Linked DNA regions of Xenopus tropicalis. The protein of the gene in region 2 binds, or shares a complex with, the protein of the main gene of each other region. Links are inferred from orthologs where the notes say so. Each region holds a gene or a part of one and is shown on either strand. Other genes may lie near its edges. The genes, in order: pigh, piga, pigp, pigc, pigq and pigy.

Region 1 (4,005 bases), on a different chromosome or scaffold from region 2:
ATATGGCACACACAGGGAGCATAGGGCAGGCAGAGTATGGTGCACACAGGGAGCATAGGTCACGCAGAGTATGGCATGCACAGGCAGGGTAGGGCAGGCAGAGTATGGCACACACAGGTAGCAGAGGGCAGACAGAGTATGGCACACACAGACACTGTAGAGCAGGGCAGGCAGAGTATGGCACACACAGGCAGGGTAGACCAGGGCAGGCAGAGTATGGCACAGTCAGGGTAGAGCCGGGCATGCAGAGTATGGCACACACAGGCAGCATAGGGCAGGCATAGTATGGCACACACAGGCAGCAGAGGGCAGACAGAGTATGGCACACACAGACACTGTAGAGCAGGGCAAGCAGAGTATGGCACACACAGGCAGGGTCGACCAGGGCAGGCAGAGTATGGCACAGACAGTCAGGGCAGAGCTAGGCAGGCAGAGTATGGCACACACAGGCAGCATAGGGCAGGCAGAGTATGGCACACACAGGCAGCAGAGGGCAGACAGAGTATGGCACACACAGGCAGGGTAGACCAGGGCAGGCAGAGTATGGCACAGACAGTCAGGGTAGAGCCGGGCAGGCAGAGTATGGCACAGACAGTCAGGGTAGAGCCGGCAGGCAGAGTATGGCACACACAGGCAGCATAGGGCAGGCATAGTATGGCACACACGGGCAGCATAGGGCAAGCAGATTATGGCACACACAGGCAGCATAGGGCAGGCAGATTATGGCACACACAGGCAGCATAGGGCAGGCAGAGTATGGCACACACAGGCAGGGCAGGAAGAGTAGGGAAGGAGACAGGGAAACCTATCATGACTATGCAAGTAATTAATCATGACCACTCCAAGATGAAAAGTTTGTAATGTAATATATATACTGCTCCTACAGCTTATAGGAGAGTTGTAACGTACGTATTTATAGTATCGCCACTCTCAGCAATTTTATGTTGTTGCACATCGTTTCTGAATTACCTTTATTAGTTGTGTTTTTTTATTTTTATATATATATTTCAAAACATATAAGCAACATTTTAAACTTTAGGAATGTCAAATCAATACATCTCATAATCACAGATCATTTCCCTTTCTCTGTTTTGTAAAACGATGCAGTCATTTCACGTCCCCTGTTTATCCGGTAACCTTCACGCACTACTGCACAGAACGCCCATATACAAACCCTCACTCCACATAGGCTATGGAAAGGGGCGTGGCTTTTGTATGGCCGGATGGGCAAAACTGAAGTAACCCTTAGTTTTCTACCAAACCAGAGGCTCTCTGAAACTAAGGGCTTAACCAGAATTGTCCGCACTCCGTTTTGATGCCGGAGAAGCTGTAGAACAGAGCGAGGAGAATGGGAACTAAAGAGTTCCTGGACGCGCACGGCGAGAAAATCACTCTGCACCAAGAAGCCCACAGCGTCTCCTGCAGGGAGTTCAGTGTCGTCTGCCCTAAGCTGTCGGTGCGAAGCGTAACGTCGTGCACCTGTGCAGTATGGCTCGCAGCGTATGCGATTTTCGCTTACACGCAGGTCTGGCGGGTTACAAACATGCCTTTTGTTTATTAGCTGCTTCGTTTGTATTAGATTGTTGTGTCCTTCACTCGCCTGCCACTCTGCCTCCCTCCGCCTAGCGGAGTAGTATGGGCGCGGCAGGTTTATATTATTTATTAGGCTTTATAAAAGGGAGAGTCTCGCTGTGTGAACAGGGGTGAAAGGCAGGGAGCTCAGTAAAGTTTGTATTTACTTTTATGGCGAAAGTGTATTTTCCAATTGTGTGTTGTGCCTCATGAGAGTCAATGAAGGAAAAATTCGCTTTGTTGTGTGGAAGCACAAAATGAAATGATGGGGTCATTTATAAGCACTAGGCAAGTTTGCCCCTGGATAGTAACCCATAGCAACCAATCAGAACCTTGCCTCATGGGGCAGAGTGCTGCCAGTTACCACAGACTGCAAATAACTCTAGGAGCCAAATTCAGCTCTTCTAGTGCTCTTTCTCTTCACTAGCAATGCCTCTGCTTCGGGCCTGCTCCAGTGCTAAACAGGTGAGGCGGCTGCACTGGGGATGTTGCCTTGGGCACTAGCAGCCCCAAAAACACTGCTGCAACAGGGGATGCAACAAATCCATTTAGTGCAACCAATCAGTGATTAGCTATTTTTGACCAGTTGCAGGTAGTACAGTGAAAGCATACACTTGATTAGTTGCTGTGTGTTTATAAATTCCACCCAGTGACTTTCTGCATACTGCCAAAGGGAGTAATGGGTGCACCATGAGCCTTGTTGCAACAGATTTTGTAAAACCCTGTTCTCTAAATACAGAGTAGATGCAGTGAAAGAGATATATCCACCTGCTAACAAAAATCAAGCGAATAGAAGTGGACTTTACGCCACATGTCACCGTGCCAGAAATTAGGCACATAAATATTCTTCATTTCTGTTTGTTCATTTCTGACTTATATTTCTTTGTAATATTGTCCTATTGCATTTATATTTGTACTCTCTAATTACAGTGAGGAACATAAGTATTTGAACACCCTGAAATTTTGCAAGTTCTCTCACTTAGAAATCATGGAGGGGTCTGAAATCCACATTGTAGTTGCATTCCCGCTGTGAGAGACGGCATTAAAAAAAACATTCAGGAAATCACATTGTATGATTTTTAAAGAATTTATTTGTATTGCACTTCTGCACATAAGTATTTGAACACCTGGCCATCAGCAAGAATTCTGGCTCTCAAAGACCTGTTACTCTGCCTTTAAGGCTGATGCCACACGTGGCGTTTTTACGCTGCGTATTTTCTAATTCTCTCAGCGGCTGAAAAACGCCTGATATCATCATCCATAGAAATAACTTGAAAAGACTCGAAGCAAACCACACAATGCGGAAATACGCTAGAAAACGCCTTAGCACAGATTTTTCAAGCGTTGGCTGAAATACGCCAGTATTTGCAAAGCAAGCTATTCCTATGTATACACAAAGGCAGCTGCCAGACCTAGCTGAAATACGCAGCGTTTTTTACTATTTTGCACTGTTAGCACCATGGAAACGGGATTTGCTACGTCACCAGTACTAGGCTGAAAAACGCCATAGTCAGAGGCTGTGTGGCTTGTGCGGCGTTTTTAGGCTGAGAAAAAACGCAGTGTAAAAACGCCACGTGTGGCATCAGCCTTAATAGTCCACCTGCACGGAAGGTTCCCGTGCTCAAGTAATCACATGTCCAGGCCCGTCTGAAGTTTGCCAATGACCATCTGGATGATCCAGAGGAGGCATGGGAGAAAGTCATGTGGTCAGATGAGACCAAAGTAGAACTTTTTGGTCTGAACTTCACCCGCCGTGTTTGGAGGAAAAATAAGCATGAGTTGCATCCCAAGAACACCATCCCTACTGTGAAGCATGGGGGTGGTAATATCATGCTTTGGGGGTGCTTTTCTGCAAAGGGGACAGGATGACTGCACTGTATTAAGGAGAGGATGAATGGGGCCATGTATTGTCAGATTTTGAGCAACAACCTCCTTCCCTCGGTCAGAGCATTGAAGATGATATGACCCGAAGCACGCAGCCAGGATAACCAAGGAGTGGCTCTGTAAGAGGCATATCAAGGTTCTGGAGTGGCCTAGCCAGTCTCCAGACCTAAATCCAATAGAAAATCTTTGGAGGGAGCTGAAACTCCATGTTGCTCAGCAACAGCCCCGAAACCTGACAGATCTAGCGGAGATCTGTGTGGAGGAGTGGGCCAAAATCCCTGTTGCAGTGTGTGCAAACCTGGTCAAGAACTACAGGAAACGTTTAACCTCTGTAATTGCAAACAAAGGTTTCTGTACCAAATATTAACACCTGATTCTCAGGTGTTCAAATACTTATGTGCAACAGTGCAATACAAATAAATTCTTTAAAAATCATACAATGTGATTTTCTGATTTTTTTTTTTTAATGCTGTCTCTCACAGTGGGAATGCACCTACAATGTGAATTTCAGACCCCTCCATGATTTCTAAGTGGGAGAACTTGCAAAAT
Region 2 (3,500 bases):
TTGCATAGGCAGCATAATGACGGTACATAAAGCAGGGAACAATACCCTCACTTTAATCAGCAGTGGAAGACCTGTCATTTACCTTGTTTCAAAAATACAAATATACTTTCCTTTAACTTCTACATTTAAAAATAACTCTAAAATATTGATTATGCTCTGTATTTTGTATACCTGAGCATCTATGTGTATTCTCCTAACCACTCCATGTTCAACTGGGTTGCCACCTCACTTTAATACCAGTCCCATATTGAATCCACATCCTGCATGGCTAGCAAGTAATTAAGATGCATGCTGCATGGCTGCACATAAATCAGTTCAGTCTGCAGCATTCAGCTAAATAAATTGCTAATTAGCCATGCAGGATGTGGATTCAATATATTGCTGAGGTGGTAACCCTATGTTAGACACTTTATGCCAGTGCATAAAGGGGAATTAATAACCTATTGTACATGAGCCAAATAAACAGGGTCTTTAGGGAAATGTGTTCTGCCCACTAATTGATGATGATAAAAATGATGAACTATGTTTCTGGCAAGTTATTGGCACATTTATGCTTGCATATGAAGGACCCATTTGCTGGTGCTCATGGAACTATTTATTTTCTGTCTGACTCGAAACGCCTGAAAGGGATAAGAAGGCTGAGTAAAGGCAAACAGCTGCTTAGAAGGAATAAACAATATAAATATATGATAATAACCTGTATTATGACAGAATATAACAAAGAGCTATTAAAGCGTGGCATAATAATAAATGGGGGTTATAATGTATGAAAGTTTCAATTTAATTCCAACTCTCGAGGACAAGTGATTTAATCAGATTCTCCTTCTCATGGAATGTGCGTATGGGACAGCAGCTGATTCCAGGGGAACGGTGTGAAGGTAAAAACCAAACCATCTGCTTGCCTATTTAATAAAATACCAGTTTTTTTTTTTTTTTTTTTAAAACAGAGAATTGGCAGAATATATTTCTGATTTATTTGGCTCATGTTGATAAGAGCAAGACACTGCCCCTTTAGTTTGGATCTGACAACCCTAGGAGGTAGGTAAATCAGTAAACTCATTCATGTACTGTACCTTTTATCAACACTTTGCAAATTAGCCTCAGTGCAGCCATAGCACCCATAGGTACTAACCTGGCTCTCCATACTTCTTACAGTAAACTAATAAAAGCTAGATAAGCTGCTATGGGTAACTGCACTGGGCAAATTTGCCCGGTTTTAGTAAATAAGCCCCCGTGTCTTCATTAGCCTGTCGAGCTGAAATACAGACTTTAGACATACAAAGTACTTAAGTTAAGGGGCTACTTTTGCACGATCAGCCCCATAAAAAAAAATGAAAGCTAGATAAGCTGCTATGGGTAACTGCAGTGGGCAGATTTGCCCGGTTTTAGTAAATAAGCCCCCATGACTTCATTAGCCTGTCGAGCTGTAATACAGACTTCAAACATACAAAGTGCTTCAGTTAAGGGGCTACTCTTGCACAATCAAAAAATCTATGGGCCCCTGTCTGACTGATACTTGCCAGATAATCAGCCAGATATTTATCAGGTGTGTTAGAAAGGACTGAATCAGGGTGCGGATGTGGCCAAACAATCAGACCTTCCTGATACAGCTCAGTGCATTGTTGGTCCAATTTGGTTAAACTTGGATCTGACCTTGGTCAGCTTTAGACAAGATGGGACCCCATGCTGTAACGGAAGTGCAGGGCCCCAATATAAGGGCAGAGTAACTTTTCAAATGTGTGCAATTTGCAATGCCTTCAGCTGTTGTTGGGCTACACCCAGTTAGTTTGTGGTTGTCCATAGTCATCAATAAGTTGTATTCTAACAATGGCTAAAAGGCCAAAGTATATATGAAAATATCATCCATGTTTTGTACTTTTACCAATAATTTCCCACGCCCAATGGGCCTCTTTTATTGGAGGCCTAGCACAAATGCTTTTCATTACCCAAAGATCAGCCCTGTGCACTTTGTAGGAAAGTAAAACCTCAATGCTACGGGCAGAGGCCAACAGAAATGTATAACAATATGTATAACAGTATAACTGTTAAAAGTAGAATGGAAGAAATTGGAAATGATGCCAAATAGTAAGCATCAGATTGCATTAGGCAGCACTTCGCACTGAGAATACTGTACAAATCATTCAGTTGTTCACCAAATATATCAATGTTCTGCAGAAAGGTCAGATGGTTCTTTACAGGCATCAGGGTCCCTCTTTCTGGTGAGTTCATGTTTCCTTTCAGTGGAATATTGTCTCAACCAGGCACCATTTGGCCCTGTTGCATTCACAGCAATGTCAATAGAAGAATCTGGAGTCATCCATCTCAGAAAGTTCAGCAACAGGAAGCTTACAATGGCAAAAAGGGCAAAAATACAGCCAGTCACTACTCCGCAGTGCCTCACAAGTCGCTCAAGCCTCTGGTCCATTGGTAGGACAACTTCCTGGGCCACTCGATTGTATACCTACAAGGAGACAGATATAACGTGAAGATTATCTTACAGAATCTCCTTCAACGTAATTCTTGGCAAAAAAAACATCTTTATAGCCATAATACTTTCTAAATTACAGATTAGTAGCAACTAAAAGTGGTCATACATGACCCAACCTTGTACAGCGCCCAACCTTCTTTTGTTGATTTCTAGTGGCAGGGAAGAGGACCTGAAGGGTAAATATCAGCAACAAGGGGGAACTATATTTTCTATTACCTGAACCAGTCTTTATAACTAGGTTGCACTAATCTATGCAACCTAATCTATGCATTCTAGGAAGATTAAAAGAATGATTAGTGATTATATTTGTAACCTCATTGAACTGGCATTTGATTTTAACCAGATCACCATCTGCCTGGTATTTGTTAATTTGGCTGCCTGGTATTTGTTTTTGTTGGCTTTGCTTCACTTTCCACCCCCAGAGTCCAAAAAACATCAGGCTATAGGCTGATGCCACACAGGCCGATTCTCGGCCTATGGGGAAAATGCAGGCCTGAAACAGCCCCTCCACTGGCATCAGCCTCCTACCTTGCCTGCACCAGAACCATTGTGTAGAACTGGCTGCAAGCAAAAGCGGCGGATATTGCTCTAAAATGCAGACTCTTGTGTTTCTTTGCTGATATCTGCAGTGTGTGACTGCACCTAGGCTATGGTTCCAGGTGCAGGCTGATGCCTGTTGAGGGACTGATTCTTAGCCTGCATTTTTCCACGGCCCCCATGTGGCATCAGCCTTAGTGTGAATGTCTGCGGTAGGGTATTTAGTTGTATGCACTCGGGGCAGGGACGCCAGTAAATGATAATAACAGTCAGCATCACAGTCTACAGAAAAAAGGGCATGAAGAATAAATACATTCAGGCTCACGTCGCTATCTTCCCAACAGTATTTGAAGCAAGGCAGCTTACACATACTTTTTCAGTCCTCTCAGCCACATCTCTCCATGTATAAAATGTGCTCACTGTTCTGTGGATTGTTTCAGGGCTCAGCAGTTCCCCAGCCAGCAGCCTGTTAATG
Region 3 (2,666 bases), about 17 Mb from region 2:
CGAGACAAAAGTTGAACTTTTTGGAAGGTGCGTGTCCCGTTACATCTGGCGTAAAAGTAACACAGCATTTCAGAAAAAGAACATCATACCAACAGTAAAATATGGTGGTGGTAGTGTGATGGTCTGGGGTTGTTTTGCTGCTTCAGGACCTGGAAGGCGTGCTGTGATAGATGGAACCATGAATTCTACTGTCTACCAAAAAATCCTGAAGGAGAATGTCTGGCCATCTGTTCGTCAACTCAAGCTGAAGCGATCTTGGGTGCTGCAGCAGGACAATGACCCAAAACACACCAGCAAATCCACCTCTGAATGGCTGAAGAAAAACAAAATGAAGACTTTGGAGTGGCCTAGTCAAAGTCCTGACCTGAATCCTATTGAGATGTTGTGGCATGACCTTAAAAAGGCGGTTCATGCTAGAAAACCCTCAAATAAAGCTGAATTACAACAATTCTGCAAAGATGAGTGGGCCAAAATTCCTCCAGAGCGCTGTAAAATACTTGTTGCAAGTTATCGCAAACGCTTGATTGCAGTTATTGCTGCTAAGGGTGGCCCAACCAGTTATTAGGTTCAGGGGGCAATTACTTTTTCACACAGGGCCATGTAGGTTTGGATTTTTTTTCTCCCTAAATAATAAAAACCCTCATTTAAAAACTGCATTTTGTGTTTACTTGTGTTATCTTTGACTAATAGTTAAATGTGTTTGATGATCAGAAACATTTTGTGTGACAAACATGCAAAAGAATAAGAAATCAGGAAGGGGGCAAATAGTTTTTCACACCACTGTATATATATATATATATATATATATATATATATATACACACACACACACATATACACTAGATTCTATATACTGTAGCCAGAGTCCCACTTACCTGTTACAGTGTGTATGGAGTCTAGGGGAGCAGTGCTCATCATGTTTATACCAAACAGAAAGATATAGGCGATGCCGAACACAACGAGGAGGTAGACGGGCACTGCCACAGCCCAATATCTATAAACACAATTTGTAAAAGAAACTGAAATGCCAGACAACAAAGGCATTACTATCAGTCTGCAATTACTATACTGTAGGTAGGACTTTGTGGCTGCACACAATATGTATCCTGTTATCCTACTGACATACTGTGCCACATTTACTAACAAATATGCTCTAATTTGTGCAGAGTAACTGATCACAGATGTGCATTCATTCTTCTGTCTGCAGGAGTCTGATTAAAGCTAATTGTTTTACTGAAGGCTTTGGGTGCAATGGGGCTAATATACCTGACAGGGTTGGACTGGGCCGCCGGGACACCAGGAGCAGCCCAGACCCGACCCTTGCCAGCGCTCCCCTGGCCTACGGTGTTCCTCCCCTGATGCGTTAAACTTAGGCGCGTTTAGGGGAGGACGTTGGGCAGAGCCACTGTGGGTGGTTAGGGGGTGTAGTGGGGGCCCCTAGGGGATGCAGGGGATGCGGCTGGCAGGGCACCTCCAGTGCCCCTGGGTCGGCAGCCCCGGTGGGCCCTGCACCCCCCAGTCCGACCCTGATGCCCGATGTTAGTAAATGATCCCCTTCTGTGTATCTGGGGCTACAAAGACTTTTCAGACTGACACTATACCATGTAAACCTGCAGCCATCCTGCTTTGCCCAGAGAGAAAGGGAACACAGTGCATACAGTACAGCTATGTGTATAGTGCTTACATCAGTACTTACTTTTGGGGCCAGTACGTCAGTCCTAATGAGTGTAACCAAGACTCTGGGATGAAGCCCCACGTTAGGTACAGAACTGAAAGTACAAAACAGCAGCTCAGTCACAAATACCAGAAAGACCAATTAAATAAGTGCAGTAGGGTGCAAATGCCCAAAAGTAACTGTATCCTAGATTGTGACCAGTGTTTTGTGGCATAGCTGAGAGGTGGCTATTAGGTGCTGTGCAATAATAAACAGAGACTATGGGGCCCCCCAATGGTTTAGTTGGGTAGGCCAAAGGTTTGAGAAGTGCTGGCCCTGTTAGAGGACAGAAGTAAAGAAGTAGTGATGTGCGGGTCAGGGACCTGCAGGTTGGGTGGGCTTGGGCCGGCAGCCACACAACTTTCTTAAGCCCAACCTGACCTTACTTTGCCCGCTTACGCTTCCAAATGTCGCTATTTATTGATTTGTGCCTGTGTGCCCTGGGCCTTTTGTGATGACAGAGATGGTGGGTTGGCCAGGGCTACAAATTCCGAGGCTCGGCGGGTTACTGTCCAGTGCAGATCAACTTTTTGTCGACCCACACATCACTAGTAAAAAGGAGATAGAGGCTGTCAGGTTCTCTGGTGGCCCTGGGGAGCCCAGTCCAAAACTGAAAAGGGGAGCAAGGAGTAATGTGGGGAGCAGTATTGGCCACTACGGTCCCTTGCAATGAGAGGACTGAATGGACATGATATTTCTTTATTTAAGCTTTGATCCATATGAGTGATCCGGAGACAGGTGGTGACCAAAGCTTCAGGGGCACAATAAAACATGTTGTATGGAAGGAGCTTGTTCAGCAGAAGATGGCGGCCTGTACGTCTCACTAGCACAGAACCAACTGCTCCAATACACAATGATATGCAAGTGCTGATACTCACTGAAGCCAAACTGGGAACCCAAATACAGAACGAAGCCATAAATTGCCCTTTCAGGTAGCGGGGACGGGGAATTC
Region 4 (3,927 bases), on a different chromosome or scaffold from region 2:
TAAAAGCCAAGAGGTATTCTCTGTGTACTAACGAAAGGAAAAGTTTTCTTAGCTAGCCAGTTATTATTTAAGGGGCAAAACGGTTTTGGCATAATGAAAGAAAGTAGAACTCTAAGCAATCTTTGACATGCATGCTGCTACATTGTTTCAGGAGTCACAGCCAGCAGTGCAGAGAATATAAGCAGCAGGGCAGCTACAACTTTCAGCCAGCAATTACATTTAGAAATAGCTTAAAAATCACTGAGTGTTTTAAATCAATGTATACTGTAAAGCTGCTGGGAATTACAATTTCATTATACATTTTAGGAGAAGATTCCATTTAATTCATCCATATGAACATGAAGAAAAAGTGAAATTATTGTTGGTGTAATGGCATAGTGTTACATTTATACTAAGACCAGGACTCCTAGGACACTGCTTTTCACACAATGATGGGAGACCCCCCCCCCCCTTCATTCAGGGTACATGACAGCGAGACTACCTGTCAGCGAGTAACAGCAATGTGGGCATTTACGCTCCAACAGACAGGCGCAGGGCCCTAAGCACTCACCATGAGCCAACCAGAAAGAGGCAGAATATAATAAACACCCGTTTCGTCATCTTTCCCGGACGTATTTTCTCATCCTCGCTGGCATTTCCCGTGTACTTTAATGAGCACTAGTCGTACAAGCCACCATTGAAAATGTCCCCGTTGGTGTATGGCGCCGGGGAGAGCCGTGCCACTGTTTCCCCTACTTCCCCTTCGTAAAAGCACTGCCCACACCACGCTACAATCCTCCAACGCGGCCGATCCCCTGCGAATGCCTCCAACTGCACAGCCAGCTTAGGCGGAAGGAGACGCGTCACTCCGGCCGAGGTTAGCGAATCAGACGTAGCCTTTACAACCCTCCCCCTTCAAATGCATTGGTTTGGTCCAGAAAGGATGCCTCAGCTCTTTTGAACAACAAGGCCTCTGTAATGGACTGGGGGCGGAGACTCGTGTTAAGCGAATTGGAATCAAGGCGCCCCTGGCAACTATTGTGGCCTTTCCTGTTTCTAGTGAAAGGGTTCTGACAGCCAATAGCATTTCAAGATACGACCGCTCTTGATTGGCTGCTCAGCCAAAGGTTGCAAGGGGCTGGAGAAACGCGGAAGCCTGGCTTTAGGAAATCAGGTACCCACTTACTGGCAGCTTTCTTTTGAGTTGGTAGCTACCCACAGGGTCTCTCCATTGTTTTTCCCTACATTGTAACCTGCCTACTGTCACTGCGGTTTGCTATACATTTCATTTTGTTTGTTGCGACAATATTAGCCTTGACATATGGGGTGGGGGGAATATGGCTAGTGCTTCTCTGCGTAGGTGTCCGCACAGAACGGCAGAAAGTAGGTTCCATAAGTCAAAGGCTTGCTACTGTAGTGTGCGGAAAAAAGTACAAAATTGTAGTTTGCAACAGCCCTGCACTTTGTAAGTGAGCTCTTGAATATGTAACTGCTGCCTCCTTTATATACTGTCTCTTAAGTTGCCAGTTGGTAGTCTTGCTCCTTCTCTCTCTCTCTCATCTATATATATATATATATATATATATATATATATATTACAGTCCACAAAATTTTCAGCACACCAAACCCCTAATATAAATCACCTGGGTGCTACCTCCATGTGTCTAATTATCCAAAAATTGGGTGCACACCAGGATATTTTTTAAAGATTAAAACGTTACTTTTATTTAAACATGCTGTTAAAACAGGCCAACGTTTCGGTCTCCTCCTAAGACCATTATCATTATCAAGGGTCTTGGAGCCGGGTTGGAGCTGCAGAGTGCCATTGAGCCCTATGGGAGACTTTCCTTGGGCCAGGTTGGAGCTGCAGAGTGCCATTGAGCCCTATGGGAGACTTTCCTTGGGCCAGGTTGGAGCTGCAGAGTGCCATTGAGCCCTATGGGAGACTTCCCTTGGGCCGGGTTGGAGCTGCAGAGTGCCATTGAGTCCTATGGGAGGCTTCCAAAATCATGCTAAGTCTGAAAGTTTTGCCCGCAGTTTACGAGCGCTCAATACGAAAAAGTCGCGACAAGATACGAGCAAATCGTAACGGCTACGAAAAAGTCGCGACAATTCGTGCAAGTCGTAATGGTTACGAAAAAGTCGCGATAATTTACGAAAAGTCGTAACGGCGACGAAAAAATCGCAAAATGTTCGTTTTCCAATCTGAATTTTTCCCCTTCGGATTCATGGGTTAGTAAATCAGCCCCTATGTTTGAGGCAAGGCTAAAATTTAGCAGTTGCCTTTCATTAGATGGAATTATCCAAGTTACTGTGTAATAGGCAGGTTAATACATTCCTTAGGTCTGTTGTTTTAATGAAGAAACCGTTAAGAAAAAAATAAGAAAAGGAAACCAGTTTCATTTTAGCACTTCCTGTTCCACTAAGAAGCTCCTGTTCAAACCCTGCACCTTAGGGAAGGGAGGGGATTGTATATTTGTTTGAAGGTAAATAAGGATCTCTGAACAAATTGCCCTGTCTATAAAGGAGGGGCTTTTCAAACAGTGCTTTATAATGGAAAAAAATTAGGAGTATATGGCAAAATACATTTTAAAGCAAAACTATACCTCCAGAATGAATACTTAACCAACAGATAGTTTATATTATGTTAATAATATGGGCAGAACTCTGCCCAATAATTGGCTGATGTGGCCTAGCATGTATGTGTGCCTTGGCTTGTTTGTGTGCACCGTTAATACTATGATCCAAGGAGGCGGCCATTACTTCTTAAAATGGTAATTTTCTATTTAGCAGTACCCAATAGCACATATTGCTAAAAAAAAGTATATTTTTATGAAAATGGTTTATTTAGATGAAGCAGGGTTTTACATATGAGTTGTTTTATGCAATATATTTTTATAGAGACCTACATTGTTTGTGGGTATAGTTTTCCTTTAAGCATAAGTTGTTTTTTTTTTTTGTTTTTTTTATTGTGCTCATTTTTTGCCAATGTGTTTTAGACATATATTTTCCTTTTTAAATCTGTGTTTGTCCCTTGAATCTTTTACACTTGAAAAAGACCCTCTGTTTGGTCAGAACAACCCATGTTACTTAATGGATTTGCAGTGTAGTTCCGGCAATGTATATGCATGCTTCCTCCGCAGAAGAATTGTACTGTATATGTCAATGTCAAATGTGTGAACCAACACCTGGTTTCTTCCTACAAAAATTTGATAAGCTGCAGTCCAGAGCAAGATAGTTATTTATTCCCATTAACAAAGGTGCCCGGAATAGTGCCCAGACTAATTATACCACATGGCAAACCTAAAGAAGTCACTTACAATAAATTGTTTACTTTTGAGCTTCATCTGACTGATTTTTTTTTTTTTTTTTTACATTATAAAGAGTCTGAAGTTTTCATAAAGATTAAATTGTATTCTACTTTTCCATTTCGTTATAAAATAAATGTGCCTACTAACATTTAGCAAAATGTCTCTTGATTACTGTTTAGCCTGCTTTGTTTATTAAGTACATAGAACATAACTACCTTTGAAAAAAGCTCAGTGCAACGTGGCAGTGCTGTTATCAGGTGGAGGATTAAAAACACAGGTCATTTTGATCTGCAAATAGAATATTTCCAGGTCAGTAAATCTCTGCCACTACCCCCTGCCTGTCTCACACCAGAGTAAACACAATTCAGAAGAGAAACATATTCCATGAAGCTGTTAAAGCATATGCATTTTGCTCATGGTATTATAAAGGTAGCGTAGGACATTGCTTCTTTTATTTTTACCATATCTTTTGTGTGATCAGAAGAAAGAAATTCCACATTTTCTGTGTTGATTTTCTCTAATATTAGGAGTTAGTTTGACTTTTGTCATTGTGAGATAATGGGATTTCAAATTGGGTAATTTAAATTGCTGACTGTTGCTTTGGGTGACCACACTTGTGCAGATTTGCCCATTGTTA
Region 5 (3,933 bases), on a different chromosome or scaffold from region 2:
CCCCCCCCTCGCATTAGAACAAGCCCTTGTGGGCAGCAGTTACAGCCATTGCAAGTCTGACTGGCACTCATTAGGGTGAAGACACATGGGGTGATTAGTTGCCGAAACTTCTGGCTACAGCTCGGGTGCAGGCACATGTAGCCGATATCCGCCAAAAAACACGAGACTTAGGCTGATGCCACACGTGGCGTTTTTACGCTGCGTATTTTCTAATTCTCTCAGCGGCTGAAAAACGCCTGATATCATCATCCATAGAAATAACTTGAAAAGACTTGAAGCAAACCACAATGTGGAAATACGCTAGAAAACGCCTTAGCACGGATTTTTCAAGCATTGGCTGAAATACGCCAGTATTTGCAAAGCAAGCTATTCCTATGTATACGCAAAGGCAGCTGCCAGACCTAGCTGAAATACGTAGCGTTTTTTACTATTTTGCACTATTAGAACCATGGAAACGGGATTTGCTACATCACCAGTACTAGGCTGAAAAACGCCATAGTCAGGGGCTGTGTGGCTTGTGCGGCGTTTTTAGGCTGAGAAAAAACGCAGCGTAAAAACGCCACGTGTGGCATCAGCCTTAACGTCTTCGGCAGATATCAGCTACATGTGCCTGCACCCAAGCGTATTCCATTCATTCGGGTGCAGGCACAGGTAGGAGCATATGGCGATATTTTCAGCAAGCGTTTTTCCGCTTGCTGAAAATATACGCCATATACTATGGGGCACATTTACTAATCCACGAATCCGAATCACGAATGGGAAAAAATTGGATTGGAAACGAAAATTTCTGAAGATCGTAAATATCACGAAAACGCTTACGAAAAAATCGTATTAGTCACGAAAATATCGTATTAGTCACGAAAATATCGTATTGGCGATCCAAAAGTCACGAAATTTTCGTACCGAACAATTGTAAACAGTGGTAAAATCTTTCCGATTTTTTCGTGCAAACGTCCGAAAAAGTCGTGCGATATACGAAAAAGTCGTCCGGACGCCAGAAAAAAACTGCGAAAATACGCTCGGAGCGTTCGCATGAACGCTCGAGCATTCGTGCCTTTGTAAATGTGCCCCTATGTGTGGCATCAGCCTTACAGCTACAGCATGTGCGTGCATATCAGGCAGGTCTGGCAATCTGTAGATTGTGGCAAATGCCAGAGGTGCTGCTGTAAGGTGCCATAGACAGTAATTATTTAGTGACCTGGTAAGGGGCTGTTATGGCCTCTATGTGCTTGAAATGCAAGGGCCTATTTTGAATCGCAGTCCAGACTTGATGTGAGGTAGGATCGCAAGAAGAAGCTTCCCACTGTTATGTCACACGCATAATGGGCGAACTGGGGCACTTGCTTATTAAACTTATGTATGCCCCCAAAATGGTGCCTGCACTGGGAGTGAGCTCCCAGCCATGTAGTGTTACTGTGGGTTTTTTTCCCACAAAATACTTAAAAATACTTAAAAAGTTTCTTTAACTCAGAATGTTCCCTTCATTATCCCTGACCACTGGTTGGAGGAAACTATTTTTGGTTATTAGTTGCCCATTAAGGGTTTGCTTTTGGTTTGCATCTTTAATTGTTTCAACTAATTTGACACTAGGCTTCTAACCTAGTCCTGGGGAGCTAGGACTCTAATCCCTAGTGTTGCAACATGGTCACCCACACTTTTTTTGGTCAAAATAGTGTCCGCCCCAATCTTGGTACACCCCTAGTATATCACTAACCATCAATAGGTTTACTATTCCAACATTTCCATTGCCATTTCAAAAACTACTTCACCATCCCTGTTTGAAGCTGCTTCAGTGCTTTATAAAGAGGGCTCTTAGGCTACTGCTTTTTGGGGCCAGGCTAGATTTTGTCGTTGCCCTGCAGGACTTGAATTAGGATAAGGGGGCAAACATTCATTATACCCTTTCTTTTTTATGTGAGTATTTTTTTATTGTTGTATACAACATATAACAGGTAAATTATCAACTCAGAGTATCAGATTATCATACAAAGTGATATAATAAAAGTAAAATCAACAATTAATACCTGAAAAAGAGCATAAAAGTTACCATAACATATATCACCAATTTATAAAGCTCTCTCTAAGGCATATTCTGAGATTATATATAACACAAAATGAGTACACAATCTTAATAACTCACAACAATGTAAAGAGTATTGTATGGATAACCTAGTTCTTTTGTAATAAAAAGTAAATTATAGCTAAGGGATGAGGTTGTTATGTCAGTTGCTCTGTATATAAATTGTTAATACTCACTGATGAGTCCCCGGCTGCTTTGCCACTTTGTTGAGTGTGTAACATCAGGGCAAGCTTGTCCTTCAGATAACAAGAGGAACCTCCCAATCACACAACACATTCATGCCGTGCCCTCAGGGATGCAGCTGATAGGATGCACTAATGCACTATGTAGCACTCATTTGCTAAGCTGGGACAGTACTCATTATGGGGCTGTCACAGGCAGATGTGTGCGATTGGTGATGTTGGTTATTCTGTGATAGAGTAAATGACCCATATGTAATGTGGCACCCAAGGGCAGAGCAAGCAGGGGCGAATTCCCTAGGCACTGTGCTCTGTAGAGCCCCACTAAACAGTAGCTGTCGGTGGTAAAGGCAGAGTGAACAAACTCCACGGCCCATAATTACCCTTTAAATGTGCAACTAGCACAGCACCGCTAGCAGCAGAGCATTGATTGGTCTCTAGCAAAATACTAAGGCTGTGACAAGTGGTATACCATGAGTGAAGTGAGGAACAGCCCAAAAAGTAAAATGTGCAAAGAAAATTGCTTCCCCCACTTTTTTAAACAACACCTTAAAGGAACAGTAACACCAAAAAATGAAAGTGTATAAAAGTAAATAAAATATAATGTACTGCTGCCCTGCACTGGTAAAAGTTGTATGTTTACTTCAGAAATTCTACTATAATTTATATAAATAAGCTGCTATGTAGCCATGGGGGCAGCCATTCAAAGGAGAAAAGGCACAGACACATAGCAGATAACAGATAAAACACTATTGTATTCTACAGAACTTTTCTGTTATCTGCTATGTAACCTGTGCCTTTTCTCCTTTTTTCCAGCTTGAATGGCTGCCCCCGGGGCTACACAGCAGCTTATTATATAAATTATAGTAGTGTTACTGTAGCAAACACACCAGTTGTACCAGTGCAGGGCAACAGTGCATTATATTTTTATTACTTTAAAGCTCTTTCATTTTTTGGTGTTACAGTTCCTTTAATGACAAGCCACCTTTATTTTTATCAGTGTTTAGAATTTACAAAATAGCTTTTTTTCATGTATAATTCACATACACACATATATATATTTCCTCATATATAATGACATACAAATGATCGTATACATGCCCATGCACTTTCTAAAATCTATATGCTGTTTTCCTATATTTGCTTAGGGATTTTCCACTGATCTCCTGGGGCTGGTTGGGTTATAATAAGGCCGTACCCGGTACTTATAAACCTTCACCGAGTTGTCAGCAGAATCAATTACAAATAATTGTCCAAGAGGTGAGCAAGCTATGCCAGTTGGCCTACTCAGGCCCTTTGATACCACACAGATAGGTGACCCACTTGAAGGGAAAAGGGTGACATTTCTGTGCTGTTGGTCGGCAACCATGATATTGCCTTCTGGATCCGCACATATTCCTACTGGGTTCCCAAATGTGTGCTGATAAGTTTTTGAGAGAGAGCAAGCAAGTTTTAGATTGCTTGTAAATCGCTTGATATCCCCACATTCCTCACTCACTGCAAAGCCCCCGTCTGGAGTGGCACATATATGGGTTGGCCCCTTCAAGCCATTGGCTTGTTGAACTTTGTGGATACGATAAGCTCTGTCTACATGAAATGCCAGAACTGATCCAGAAGTGTATTCTGCAACTAAAAGGCGTCCAGAGGAATCTGTTGCTATACCCTGTGGAGACT
Region 6 (4,097 bases), on a different chromosome or scaffold from region 2:
AACAATTGGGTAAGCTATACCCAGCTCGTCATTAATTAACTCATTGGTAGATTCTTCATATCTAGGGAAAAAAAATGACATATAAACAATCAGATCTGGATCAATGAATGGGGAATCACAGCCGTTTATATTTAATGTCGGGAAATTTGATCACCAAAATCAGTACATTTCAAACCACAAGCGTCATTCCATAATCAATATTATATATATATATATATATATATATCGAGCCAAGGGTGGCACACCGCTTCAATCCTTGTCCCGGGTGCACGGTAAAAGAGTTTAAATATTGAAAAAAAGACCAGCAACACCGGATCTATTGCAAACAATCGATTATATATTGAAAAATACATGAACAGCCAACGTTACGTTTCGGTCCCCGTCGGGACCTTTCTCAAGACCGAAACGTAACGTTGGCTGTTCATGTATTTTTCAATATATAATTGATTGTTTGCAATAGATCCGGTGTTGCTGGTCTTTTTTTCAATATATATATATATATATATATATATATATATATATATATATATATAATATATATAAAATGCATTTAGGAGTTCTAGTTAAGCTTGAAATAGCAAAGAGACATCTGCTTGCTGTTAATAAACTGAATATTTCCCTATACAGAGTACAGGCTTAGGTGTATGGGACACCCTGTTCCCCTGCTGACCTGACTGACTACTTTGAGACTCAAATAAAATGCAGTAGACTGTCCTCAGCCTGCCTTCTCCAGTTACCACAATTCCCCGCACATATAATAAGGAATAGGGAAAATAACATCACTGGGCAATGCATTGTGGGTAATGTAGTTTCTGAGTGCTGTCTGTAAGATGTGGAGAAGTTGTTACAATTTGTAACATCAGTGTTTTAGTCCCTCTTCTTTAATCCTCTTCCCAGGATTTTAAATAATGCAGAAAGAAGGTTAGAAGGTTTAGCAGAAAGAAACAGTTTACAGTGCTAGGTATATTAGGGGTTTCTGTGTTGGGCTCTTTAACAAATTTTGGTTCATAAACTGTAGTTCCCCTTTCAATAAAAATAAGCAGCGATATTTTCAATATAAGCCCTAACATTTGGCTAATGGTTAATATCAATATAGTCTTTCTAAAGGGTAATTAATTAGAAATTATAAATAGAACAATACGTGGCTATAACTTTAAGTCAGAGAAACCCAAGTCTGATGGGACACTTTGCTCAAACTAGGGGCAGCCCAGCACTGCAGGGGGCAGTATCCTTGTATTGTAGCCCGCACCTCTGGGGGGAAGCAATGCTTAGGATCATAGGTGATCTTAATGACCCCCCCACCCAGCAGCAGTATACTGACTGTATCAGAGCCCTTTAACCCAGTGCCAGGTATTTTACCTCAGCGATTTCCTTGAGAGAGGGCAGACCAGGAATTGCAAGAGGGTAGGATCAAACGTCTTGCTGTCCTTCAGGCTCTGTTCCGGGGATCTGGCAACTAAAGAGCAGTGCAAGGGCCGCAGTGTGACAGCTGGCAGGGCGCCAGTGGGACAGGCAGCGTTTAGTTTCCGCTGGACTAAGGTATTATATGTTCTTCCCCATGCCCTGACAGCCAGCATGTTCCACTTTCTGCACAGAAACTGACTGACACACAACCTTTACTTCCCAGGAACGATTCCACCCCTTCTTCCTGTGCAGCACTATAAACAGCCCCTCACACGACACAAAGCAGTCTCAGTGGTTCCTACCATGTGCATGTAACTATATAAACCCACAGCCTGCAAAACCCTCAAAATATATCTGAAAGAGTTGTGATTAAAGTCTTTCTGTAATGTTAAACTACCTTTACTTGATATTATTGCTTGAATCTGGTTTGCCCTTTGATTCCTGCGATCACAGATATGTAACCCATTCACTGCCAGGCGATTTTTCCTTCTGTATTTGTGTTAAACCAGGTACCAGCCCACATTGCCTGACAGGTGGTAGCAATTTAATTTCTAACAGTGCTCAAAATAAGTTATAGGTAAACAGGAATACAGTAACAGTATTCCTGTTAAAAGCAAAAAGCTTTGTTCACTGTGGAATCCTATGGAATTAAGATGTTGTACTGTGTTAGCCATTAAAAACAATGCAGAAAATCTGATACCTTTTATTGGCTGAGTAAGAAAAATTGCAAGCTGTCCAAGCAGGGTCGGACTGGGCCGCTGGGACACCGGGAAAAGTGGGCCCTGGCGGCCCAGACCCGACCCTTGCCGATGCTCCCCCTGCCCGAGTGCTCCTCCCCTGACGTGTTAAATTTACACGCTCGGGGGAGGATGTCAGGTGGGGGGCCCTGCACGGGCACCTACAAGGCCCCTGGGGCGGGAGCCCCAGTGGGCCCTTCACTCCGCAGTCTGACCCTGTGTTGAAGCACCCAGGCCCCTTCGTCAGGCAAAATACAAATGAAAGCTGGAAAGGCACAGCATATATATAGATCATTGAAAAGGTTCATGGGCAATAAATTGAGAACCCTATAGGACACAGAAACAGGGTCGGGCTGGGGGGTGCAGGGCTCACTGGGGCTTCTGCCTCAGGAACCCCAGCCCCCCCCAACCCCTGCAGAGGCCCCAAACACCCTCCGACCATGCTTCTAAAAGAAACTTACCTGCGGTATGTTGGGGGAGGGTGACGGTGGATCGCGGGAGAGCCCTGGGGGAGGGGATCTGGCCCGCCGGGGACCAACAGGTTTTTTTCCCAGTACCCCAGCAGCCCAGTCTGATACTGCACTGAACAGGTTGCGGGTAGTATAGAATGCTGCAGCACAAAGAATCACAGAGTAGGGAGTAGACAAGGTAGAAAGCTACAGCATGGATAAAACAGGGAGGAAGTCAGGGGGAGTATGGAGCTAGTCGGATGGGGTATGTGACAGGTAGGGAGCTGGGGGGGGGCTTCTGTGGTGGGGAGGGAGTTGAACACACACAGATATCTTAAAATGGACACTAGATAAAGATTGTTCTGTCTGCTGCAATTTCCTGTGCACAGGGACATTTTACATTGCTGTGGCTGGATCTTATCTTCCTTATTTTCCATACAAGTTCAGTTCTTCTTCTGACAAACTTTGGGGGCGATTATTCTGAGACCACACACGGTCCAAAAATTGTTTGAGACTAGGTTTTGTATGATTTTATTGATGTGTGTATGGCCAGTTTGTTCTAAGCCAGCAGTAATTAAAACAACATGGCAGCAGGCTAACCGGCTGCAAGGGGTATTTGATCATTAGGGGAGCTGGTTGTCATGAGTGTGCATAGAGAAGCTGGTGAATTACTGTTAGTGTTGCCACCTTTTCTACAAAAAATACCATTCCTTCTCTTGTTGGTAGCTATCTTGTCTATTAGTACTGTTGGAATCAAATTTCAGTTTTATTGGTCAGGCCTGTAAAATAACTGCTGGGAGGCAACTCTATTCATTATATGTCAGGTAGTGGATAGAAAGTAGGGACGCACCGAATCCAGGATTTGGCCAAGATTATGCTTTTTTCGGCTCCTGGCAGAACTGAATCCGAATCTTAAAAATCACGTGACTTTTTGTCACATAAACACGGAAGTTAGAAATTTAACCCTTCCGTATCCTAATTAGCATATGCTAAAAAAAAAGTGCATTCGGTGCATCCCTAATAGAAAGCCAGCGCGCCCTGGGTGGCTTGACTGTTTTCTGGGTTAGGTGGAGTTTAGGGACCTATTTGGTTAGGACAATCCGATGTGGTTGAATTAACAGAACACTAGGGAGCTGTTTTGGTCCTGCACTAATATTTTTCCTTCAACTCAAGCTATCCCAAGAAAGAATAGTAACGCAGTTATATGCACAGACTAAGGGGAGGATAGGGCCAGCAAGCTACTTGTCAGCAAATTGGGAGATAAGGTCAGAGTCTGTAGCCTGAACAGAATCTGATCTAAAAGGGCAGAAGTCTTTTGAGCACCTCATTGTTAAATGTCCCTCATTAGTAAAAGCCAGTAACTAGCAAGGGATTTTTCAGGAATGACTTTTCTATTTAATTAAGCTACCCCTTAAATAGGGAAACAGTTTCAGGCACAAACATATGGGAGGCTAGGGCTAGCAAGCTTTTGGGGCAGCAAAACGGGAGGTAGGGCTTAAGTCTGTAG

What was found.
Region 1: piga (region 2) and pigh share a complex: the UniProt entries of both Homo sapiens proteins name them as parts of the glycosylphosphatidylinositol-N-acetylglucosaminyltransferase (GPI-GnT) complex. The link is inferred for Xenopus tropicalis from reciprocal best matches to the Homo sapiens genes PIGA and PIGH.
Region 3: piga (region 2) and pigp share a complex: the UniProt entries of both Homo sapiens proteins name them as parts of the glycosylphosphatidylinositol-N-acetylglucosaminyltransferase (GPI-GnT) complex. The link is inferred for Xenopus tropicalis from reciprocal best matches to the Homo sapiens genes PIGA and PIGP.
Region 4: piga (region 2) and pigc share a complex: the UniProt entries of both Homo sapiens proteins name them as parts of the glycosylphosphatidylinositol-N-acetylglucosaminyltransferase (GPI-GnT) complex. The link is inferred for Xenopus tropicalis from reciprocal best matches to the Homo sapiens genes PIGA and PIGC.
Region 5: piga (region 2) and pigq share a complex: the UniProt entries of both Homo sapiens proteins name them as parts of the glycosylphosphatidylinositol-N-acetylglucosaminyltransferase (GPI-GnT) complex. The link is inferred for Xenopus tropicalis from reciprocal best matches to the Homo sapiens genes PIGA and PIGQ.
Region 6: piga (region 2) and pigy share a complex: the UniProt entries of both Homo sapiens proteins name them as parts of the glycosylphosphatidylinositol-N-acetylglucosaminyltransferase (GPI-GnT) complex. The link is inferred for Xenopus tropicalis from reciprocal best matches to the Homo sapiens genes PIGA and PIGY.

What each region holds. Positions count from the first base shown.
Region 1 is NC_030681.2:52,816,212-52,820,216, forward strand, and holds the start of pigh (phosphatidylinositol N-acetylglucosaminyltransferase subunit H), read left to right. Parts: upstream 1-1,205; 5' UTR 1,206-1,348; coding exon 1,349-1,525; intron 1,526-4,005. UniProt on the Homo sapiens protein: Part of the glycosylphosphatidylinositol-N-acetylglucosaminyltransferase (GPI-GnT) complex that catalyzes the transfer of N-acetylglucosamine from UDP-N-acetylglucosamine to phosphatidylinositol and participates in the first step of GPI biosynthesis.
Region 2 is NC_030678.2:29,606,187-29,609,686, forward strand, and holds part of piga (phosphatidylinositol N-acetylglucosaminyltransferase subunit A), read right to left. Parts: coding exon 3,392-3,500; intron 2,462-3,391; coding exon 2,162-2,461; 3' UTR 1-2,161. UniProt on the Homo sapiens protein: Catalytic subunit of the glycosylphosphatidylinositol-N-acetylglucosaminyltransferase (GPI-GnT) complex that catalyzes the transfer of N-acetylglucosamine from UDP-N-acetylglucosamine to phosphatidylinositol and participates in the first step of GPI biosynthesis.
Region 3 is NC_030678.2:12,648,149-12,650,814, reverse strand, and holds part of pigp (phosphatidylinositol N-acetylglucosaminyltransferase subunit P), read right to left. Parts: coding exon 2,593-2,666; intron 1,770-2,592; coding exon 1,697-1,769; intron 995-1,696; coding exon 876-994; intron 1-875. UniProt on the Homo sapiens protein: Part of the glycosylphosphatidylinositol-N-acetylglucosaminyltransferase (GPI-GnT) complex that catalyzes the transfer of N-acetylglucosamine from UDP-N-acetylglucosamine to phosphatidylinositol and participates in the first step of GPI biosynthesis.
Region 4 is NC_030680.2:107,290,750-107,294,676, forward strand, and holds the start of pigc (phosphatidylinositol N-acetylglucosaminyltransferase subunit C), read left to right. Parts: upstream 1-1,127; 5' UTR 1,128-1,153; intron 1,154-3,927. Other genes in the region: suco (SUN domain-containing ossification factor), read right to left, coding at 551-600. UniProt on the Homo sapiens protein: Part of the glycosylphosphatidylinositol-N-acetylglucosaminyltransferase (GPI-GnT) complex that catalyzes the transfer of N-acetylglucosamine from UDP-N-acetylglucosamine to phosphatidylinositol and participates in the first step of GPI biosynthesis.
Region 5 is NC_030685.2:21,225,050-21,228,982, reverse strand, and holds the start of pigq (phosphatidylinositol N-acetylglucosaminyltransferase subunit Q), read right to left. Parts: upstream 2,801-3,933; 5' UTR 2,257-2,800; intron 1-2,256. Other genes in the region: nhlrc4 (NHL-repeat-containing protein 4), read right to left, coding at 3,404-3,933. UniProt on the Homo sapiens protein: Part of the glycosylphosphatidylinositol-N-acetylglucosaminyltransferase (GPI-GnT) complex that catalyzes the transfer of N-acetylglucosamine from UDP-N-acetylglucosamine to phosphatidylinositol and participates in the first step of GPI biosynthesis.
Region 6 is NC_030677.2:67,794,317-67,798,413, forward strand, and holds the start of pigy (phosphatidylinositol N-acetylglucosaminyltransferase subunit Y precursor), read right to left. Parts: upstream 2,801-4,097; 5' UTR 2,603-2,800; intron 1,621-2,602; exon of another isoform or gene 1,578-1,620; coding exon of another isoform or gene 1,360-1,577; intron 62-1,359; coding exon of another isoform or gene 1-61. UniProt on the Homo sapiens protein: Part of the glycosylphosphatidylinositol-N-acetylglucosaminyltransferase (GPI-GnT) complex that catalyzes the transfer of N-acetylglucosamine from UDP-N-acetylglucosamine to phosphatidylinositol and participates in the first step of GPI biosynthesis.